Linked DNA regions of Macaca fascicularis. The protein of the gene in region 1 interacts with the protein of each later gene in a biochemical or structural test. Links are inferred from orthologs where the notes say so. Each region holds a gene or a part of one and is shown on either strand. Other genes may lie near its edges.

Region 1 (3,820 bases):
GAGATGGAGTCCCGCCCTGTCACCCAGGCTGGAGCGCAGTGGCGCGATCTTGGCTCACTGTAACCTCTACCTCCCGGGTTCAAGAGAGTCCCCTGCCTCAGACTCCCGAGTAGCTGGGACTACGGGCATCTGCCCCCACACCTGGCTAATTTTTGTATTTTTAGTAAAGATGGGGCTTCACTATGTTGGCCAGGCTGGTCTCAAACTCCTGAGCTCGTGATCCGCCCGCCTCCGCCTCCCAAAGTGCTGAGATTATAGATGTGAGCCACCGCACCCGGCCCCGTGTTTTTTAAAGCAACATTGATTTCGTAGACCCAGGACAATGTAGTCAAAACACAATAATTTTTTTTAATTCCGGAAGTCACTGTCTTGAAGAGTATGATGGAAAGACTTTAATGGCCAGCAAGACTAATTGTAAAACCTATAGTAATTAAGACAGTGAGGCATTGGTACAAGGACAGACAGATATCACAATAAAATAAGAGACCCCAGAACAACCCATGCATATGTGGCCACTTGATGTAAGGCCAAGGTGGCGCTGCAGAGCAGCAGGTAGAAGGTGATGTTTTCAACACACATTGCTCAGTCAATTGGATATCCATTTCGGAAGAAAATGAAATTTGATCACTACGTCAGATACCATACGCAAAATCCATTCACTAGAGTTTTTATCTAAATGTACAAGGTAAAAAAAATAACACTTTTAGAAGATAATATCGGAGAATATCTTCATAACCTTGAGATAGGGAAAGATATTTTAAATAGGACACAAAAAGCCCTAACCACAAAGGAACAATTGATCCAGTGAACTACATTAAAATGAAAAACTTTGGATTATTAAAAGGCCATTAAGAGGGAGGAAGATTGCTTGAGCTCAGGAGTTCAAGACCAGCCTGGGCAACATGACAATATCCCATCTCTGCAAAAAAATACAAGCATTAGCCAGGTGGGGTGGTGTGCACCTGTGGTCCCATCTACTTGGGAGGCTGAGGTGGGAGGATCACTCATGCCTGGAAGGTGGTGGTTGCAGTGAGCCGAGATCCTGCCAGAGCACTCCAGCCTGGGTGACAGAGTGAGACCCTGTCTCAAAAAAAGCCATGAAAACCACTGGATCATCAGAAGACACTTATAGGGTAATGTAGCTGCAATAGCAAAGATTTATATCCAAAATATAAAATGGCCAAAAAACAGACACTGCAGAATAGAAGATACCCAGATGGCCAATAAACATAAAAAGAAATGTGAAGCAGCAGGAGCTTTTCGAACACTGAAGTGAGAGTATAAATTGATGCAACTACTTTGGGAAACTGGCATTGACCGCTAAGTGGGATATATTATGCATATTTTATGATCCAGCAGTTCTACTCCTAAACGTATAACCACCCCACCGTACCTTCTGACCGCCAGTGCCTGGACATATGTACAAAAAGACTTACAGGAATGTTCATATTATTAGTATTTGTAATAGCTCCGTAAACTGGAACGGCTCAAATGTCCAGTAACTGTAGAATAGTACAGTATATTCATACAATGGAATATTATAGAGGAGTGGAAATGAACAAATTAAAGCCAGGTACAACAACATAGATGATCCTTATACACATTTTGTTGAACACAAGAAGCCAGTTGTGAAAGAATTGTGTGATCCCATTTTTATATATAGTTCAAACTCATCTGTGATTTAGAAGTCACAGCAGTGGTTACCTTTGCAGAGGAGCAAGAGTGTGTGATTGGAAGGAGGCATGAAGGGGACTCCTGGGTGTAGGTAATGCCTATTTCTTATCCTGCGTGTGATTACATGGGTGTGTTGTGTGTTCACTTGTAATAATTCAGTAAGATACACACTTATGGTTTGTATACTTTTCTCTGTATGTATGATGCTTTAATAAAACATTTAAAATAAAACCCACTACACTGAGAGATCATTATTTACCTCCCAGTGTTAGAGATCAAAATGTTTGGTAACACATTGTTGGCAAAGGAACTCTCTGCTGTTGGCAGCTGTGGTTAGAAGGATCTGTCTACAAGATTAAACTTTGACACAGTAACCTCACTTTTTTGGGAATTTATATTGCATATATTCTTGCTCATGTATAAGATTATTGATTGTAACATTGCAATATCAAGAGACTGGAAACCACCTAAATTTCCATTAGTTGTTAAGAAATTATAATATATCCACATAATGGAGTACTGTGCAGCTGTAAAATACATAGAAATGCTTTGTGTACTGATAGGAAAAGACTACTAAGTTAAAATGTGTTCTGAAGCTACAAATAATATACAAAATACAGTACACTGTATTAAAAGGGGCAAAGGGAAGAATATATGTATTCACTTGAATTTGCACAAAATATCTTTGGGAAGATGTTAAATAACCACATCCCTTTCCTGTGGGGAGAGGGGCTTGGGTGGCTGGGAGGTGGGCATGGGGGGCTTTTCTCTGGGTACTCTGCAGTTGGATTGTATTCCTGCACTTGGATCCATTTATTACCTAATAAATGAAAATATTTAGGAGTTAATCCTCAGATGTCTTTTTCCTCTCAGACATGGCAAATATGTACGTCTTACTCCGTGCTGTGTCCACTGGTTTACCTCATATGATTCAGGAGCTACAAAACCACATCCATGATGAGGGCCTTCGAGCAACCAGCAACCTTACTCAGGAAAATGTGAGTTGTGTGGGGAACTGCAGTGTTTTCCTCCTAATCAGATCCATCGTGGAGTCTTTCCTTTGACTTTACTATTTTGAAAGATGAAAGAAAAAGTCTTACCATGCCAACAAAAGAAATGTCTTTATTCAAATGTTTTAAACCTAGAGCTTGTTGGACTCATTTTGGAATTATCAAATTATTAGAAAGCTATTGATGAGATAGGCTGCTGCTTAGCCATACGGAGGTGTCCTTTGAACAGTTGTTAACTTTTCACAGAAAAATAAGCTTGCCATTTCTAAGTAACTGTGTTTTTCTGTAATTGGCGTTGATAACATTGTTTGTTGTCATGGTAGTAGTATTAATCAGCGGTAATATAGACAACTTGTAATTTTCCTCCTTTCCATATTCTGTGAATTTGGTTGTCTAGTAAGCAAATTTAGATTCAAATAATCTTCTGTAAGTATATGCTTGCTGCCCCAAATACCGGAAACAATAACCCTCGTGTCCCTAATACTCATCTTCCTTGAGTACTTTACCAATCACATGACTGTAACAGTTTGTCTTTCCTATCACCAAATCTTGTTATTACTGGTGACGGTTGATGATGAGCAAGAGAGACGTAACTTCAACTGTTACTGTCTCTTCTTAAGTAGAGCTGTTTGACTTAATCTGTAAGGTAGTATCTGTCACGCCTGTAATCCCAGCACTTTGGGAGGCCGAGGCGGGCGGATCACGAGGTCAGGAGATGGAGACCATCCTGGCTAACACCGTGAAACCCCATCTCTACTAAAAATACAAAAAATTAGCCGGGCATGTTGGCGGGTGCCTGTAGTCCCAGCTACTCAGGCGGCTGAGGCGGGAGAATGGCGTGAACCCGGGAGGCGGAGCTTACAGTGAGCCAAGATCACACCACTGCACTCCAGCCTGGGTGACAGCACAAGACTCCGTCTCAAAAAAAAAAAAAAAAAGATAGTATCTGTGTGTATGTGTGTAGCCGTCACTGTTCAGGAGCACTTTTTAGAGGCTGTTACCTTAGCGACAGATTGGTCTTTGGCAAGTAATAATTTTTAGTTTTTATGTTCTGCCACAATCGTGTAAGTTTACTATTTTTTAATTTCTTCAAATTCCTTTTACCACAGTTTTCTATTTTTGTAGAACTATTAGTT
Region 2 (4,557 bases), on another chromosome or scaffold:
TATATACTATTACTTCAATCAAGACATAGAATATGTTCATCACCCAAAAAGTTCCCTTATGTTTCTTTGCAGTCAGTCTTCCCCGACTCACTCCATCTCTGTCCCCAAGTGTCACTGATATGCCATTGCTATAAATAAGTTTTACATGTTCTAGAATTTCACCAAATATCCAGCTAGCAGTAACATCTCCAATTGCTACATAGATGTTATAATATTGTTTAAACTGTGTGTGACTCAAATTCAAATAAGAACTGCACACTGAAAATGACTGACATATCCTTTAAGTCTCTTTTAATTTCCTTCTCTCTCCTCTCATCCTAATAATTTGTTGCAGAATTTGGGTCATTTGTCCTGTAGACTTTTCTGACATCTAGATATTGCTGATTGCATTGGGTATTTAACATGTTCCTCTGTCCTGTGCTTTTTGCAGATGGTAGTTGACTTTCTCTGATTCTGTTTTGATTTTTTTTGGCCTCATGCGTTTTTAAATGGGTTGAAGGATCATATACTTTAACATTCTTTCGGTTTTAAGTAACAGAGAATTGAACTAAATATGCAAAATAGTGAAATTCGTTGGTTCACATAACTGAAAATTCCAGGGCATATCATGGATTTGGGGCTCATATCATATAATCATATTCTGGTTTTTCTATTTTTCTGCTTGCTACTGCTCTCTTCTGAGTTTTGGCTTCATTCTCTGTACCTTCTCTGGTTCAAATCCATAGGAAATAAAATTGCTTCCTGGTAGTTTAATTTTGTGTCACTGGCACTCATTGGCCTAGCCTGAGTATGCGTCCATCCTGAACTAATTAATAACACTAAGGAAATATGATATTCGGATTGGCCAGATTAGGGTGCCATGGTGAAGGTAGTTTCACAGGAACCACTTCAACTGTTACTCAGACTTTTAGTCTTCTCCCATGACAGTTGGTTTGCAGAGATAAATTTATTTTACCAACATAATTACTAACGAATTTCTACTATGTCTTTACATACAATAACCATTATTTAAAAACAGTATTTCCACCTAAGTGCAAGTGAATAGATTACAGTGTGTTTTGGTTAGTAAGGTCTAGGGGGAGGCTCCTTAGAACTGTCCCCCAAATTTCTCCCTACTAAGTAGCGGTCATCTACTATCTGTTATCGGAGAGGTGAGCTCTGCGGAAATAATGGTAGAGCTAAGTTTCAATACAGGACAAAGTGATATGCAAAGGTAGGGAAAAGGGAGAAGGGGGAGTGGGAGGCTGATCACAGGCCCATAAAGAAAACACGCAAGACACAGGGTGACAATGTATTTAAGGGGTGGGAACACTTCAGGTGAGGTTATCGTGTGGAAGAGCTCAGAAGTGGAACTTGGTCTACTTTACCAGGTTATTTTTAACGTCAACTGCAAAGTATTAGTAGTTTCATTTTTTGGCGGTGACTGCCAGCATCAGAGCGCGGCAGAAACTCCATGAGAAACGTCAGGATACTCTGGACCGAATACAGAATTCCGCGGGCAGCCGCAGTTGCGAGGGTCAGACAGCTTCCCCCTGCCTGGCCTACCTACGAGTGGCAGAAGCAACCGGAATCACGCCCCTTCCCGGGACCGGCTCCGCGATCGCGTCACTTCCGGGCCTCAGCGATTCGCCTCCGGGTTAGGCTGAGCCTTCTGCTTTCTGTGACTGGTGGAGCTGCCGCGCTGTCCGCGTTATCTCCTCCCGGTGAGAACGAACCGCAGTGTTCACCGGCGAGGAGCCAGCCCTGTCCCGGTCAGAGAAAGACGACGAGGATACCTGGGAGCGGGCGTCGGCCGGGCTGGGCCGCGCCGGTGCGGGCTGGCGACTCTGCTCCTCCGCTTGCTGCTGTCTCTGGGAACTGGGTGCCAGCGCTGAGGGGCTTCCAGCGGACAGGGACCCCCTTCCCCGGCTCCCCTGCCCACCCTGCCGGGGAGGGCGGAAGATGCCGGTGAAGAAGAAGAGAAAATCCCCTGGGGTGGCAGCCGCAGTAGCGGAAGACGGAGGCCTCAAAAAGTGTAAAATCTCCAGGTACCATCTCCCCCCACCCTTCAAGCTTCCCTCCTCCCTCCTTTGCTGGACAACTGGAGGAAAAGGAGTCGGGCCCGGCCTGCCGGGCTGGGGCTGGAGACAGGTGAGGCCCCTTTGATCGAGCTAGGCGGTAGGTGCCGAACACCGCGAGTCTCCGCGCCCGACCCGACCTCGTGTTCGAGTGTGTGCACGCTGGCGTTTATGGAGAGACTAGAAGAGCCGCCCACGTTTAGAGTCTACGTGCCCTGCAGGGTGGGGAACAGATGCATATGTAAATTGCGCTGCCCCCCACCCCCACCCCACAACCGACCCTCAATCTCCTACTCCCGTATCGCTCCTCTGCCCTTTATTTCTAGACTTAGAAGTGAGTGCAGTTCCGCGGAAGGGTCACTTCTAGAATTTCTTTGTAGAGTGTGAAGAAAGCAGCACATAAGGAATCTTGTCAACTGTCTTGGGAATGGTAGAAAGGAAAACTTGTATGCTGTAATTGGCCTCCATATTTAGTATTTGGAGTGGCCTAACCCGGAAGGTCCCAGCAGGAGGCCTTTTAAATTGCAGGAGCCCCATTTTCTGGAAGTATAGTGCCTCACCTATGCCAAGTGCCTGTGTGCAGAGTTGGAAAGGCCCTGCATGCTTTTTGTCTTCTAGCATTCAGGACGCTGTTCGCTCTCAGCATAAATTAAATGATTTGTGAACTCTTGTACTCTGTCCTATTGGTAAGAAAGAAGACAAGGCAGAACTATATAGTAGTAGTTCTTTGATCCCTTTGATCCTGGAGGCATCACAGCAAAATTATATGCTACAAAAAAATAACAGCAATTTTGGTGTGAGAAGTGGTTTTTGTTTTTTGTTTTTTTTTCTTTGTGACGGAATCTTCCACTGTCGCCCAGGCTGGAGTGCAGTGGCGCGATCTCCGCTCACTGCAACCTCCGCCTCCCGGGTTCAAGCGATTCTCCTGCGTCAGCCTCCTAAGTAGCTGGGATTACAGGTGTCCACCACCACACCCTGCTAATTTTTTGTATTTTTAGTAGAGACGGGGTTTCACTATGTTGGCCAGGCTGGTCTTGAACTCCTGACCTCGCGATCCGCCCGCCTCGGCCTCCCAAAGTGCTGGGATTACAGGCGTGAGCCACCTCGCCCGACTGAGAAATGCTTTTTTAAAAAATACCCATATTAGCTGCCTTTTCATCAATGTTTGGCACTTGATATGACAACTTAAGGTGCTACTATTAAAAGAAGACAGTAGCCAGGATTATAAGAAGGAAGTAATGCTAGAGCTCTCCTTAAACAGAGATCTGCTTAAACTGTGAGGTAGATGACTTATCTAGTCATCTTTTTTGTATATTGGTCGACTTTTTTCCCTCATTACTGTGTTTTGGTAAAGGAGTCTAAGAAGTATTTCTTGGGCTATTAATGTGAAAGATGATACACTTTTCTTATACCTCTTGTTAGCCAACATTAGAATTTGACATGGGTTTCTTTAGTAGCTCATATTTTTATAATATATAGGCAAATTATTAATTCATTTTTGTATTACTCTATCTCATGGCCATCTTAAGTATATAATGTATTAAAATTATTTAAGTACATCAAAATTGCTGAGCAGGCAGTATTATTAGAACTCAGGTGATACTTTGCTCTATCAATTTAAATTTTTAAATATAATACTCTTACTTTACATTACTCAATTACAGAGGTTCTAGCATTTCTATATCATTGTAGGATAATTATTTGAGTTCCTTGAAAAAAGTTTCTCTGAAAGTCATTAAATTCTAGAGGCCATTTTGAGCTTACCAAATTTTAGTTATTTTATGAAAAAGAGAAATTTTATGAAAAAAATGAAACAGAATGAACAGGAGCTAGGATTAAATACCCTGTCCCAATTATTTGGACTATTATTAACTTTTAGGGTTTTTTTGTTGTGTTTTTTTAAATCTGTGAAATTTAATATACCCTTAGGTCCTAAGTCATCATTTATCTTTAAAAATCTAAGCTTAGGTGATAAAACAACTCTTAATATAACATTTTATTTTGAAATATTGATTCATTAAGTATCAAAATATACTTCGTGTTTTCAATATTTATCTATTACACACAAATAGAATTTGTATACAAATCAATAGAATCACAATAAATATTTATACTTTTCCAACTACTAGGTTGAACTTCTTTGTAGTCTTTTAAAATGTGAGGAAATAACTTACTGATATTTTTGGATTTTGATACTGAGTGAAGAGGTGTTTGGGTTTTGTTAGCCGATAATTCTTACGTATAGACTACTGTTTCAAGTTGCAGTTACTTAACAACTTCAATTTTTTTCCAGTAATGCCAACCGAAGAAAAAAAAATCTTTGTTTAATGTGAATTGAAGTAGTTAATTTTGAACTTAGTTTTTCTCTAAGAGTTGAGATGTGATAAAAATCTTAGGCATCTGTGTGTTTTCTAAGCTATTGCAGATCCCAACCCCCTGCTAGACTAATAAGTGGAGAGGAACATTTTTCAAGCAAGAAGTGCCTGGCTTGGTTTTATGA

Evidence for each region.
Region 2: of the proteins of CUL2 (region 1) and DCUN1D5, one has a biochemical effect on the other in vitro, tested with the Homo sapiens proteins (2 studies listed by BioGRID, with this or other methods). The link is inferred for Macaca fascicularis from reciprocal best matches to the Homo sapiens genes CUL2 and DCUN1D5.

What each region holds. Positions count from the first base shown.
Region 1 is NC_088383.1:35,802,675-35,806,494, reverse strand, and holds part of CUL2 (cullin-2), read left to right. Parts: intron 1-2,547; coding exon 2,548-2,672; intron 2,673-3,820.
Region 2 is NC_088388.1:102,097,843-102,102,399, reverse strand, and holds the start of DCUN1D5 (DCN1-like protein 5), read left to right. Parts: upstream 1-1,634; 5' UTR 1,635-1,941; coding exon 1,942-2,027; exon of another isoform or gene 2,028-2,130; intron 2,131-4,473; coding exon 4,474-4,557. UniProt on the Homo sapiens protein: Contributes to the neddylation of all cullins by transferring NEDD8 from N-terminally acetylated NEDD8-conjugating E2s enzyme to different cullin C-terminal domain-RBX complexes which is necessary for the activation of cullin-RING E3 ubiquitin ligases (CRLs).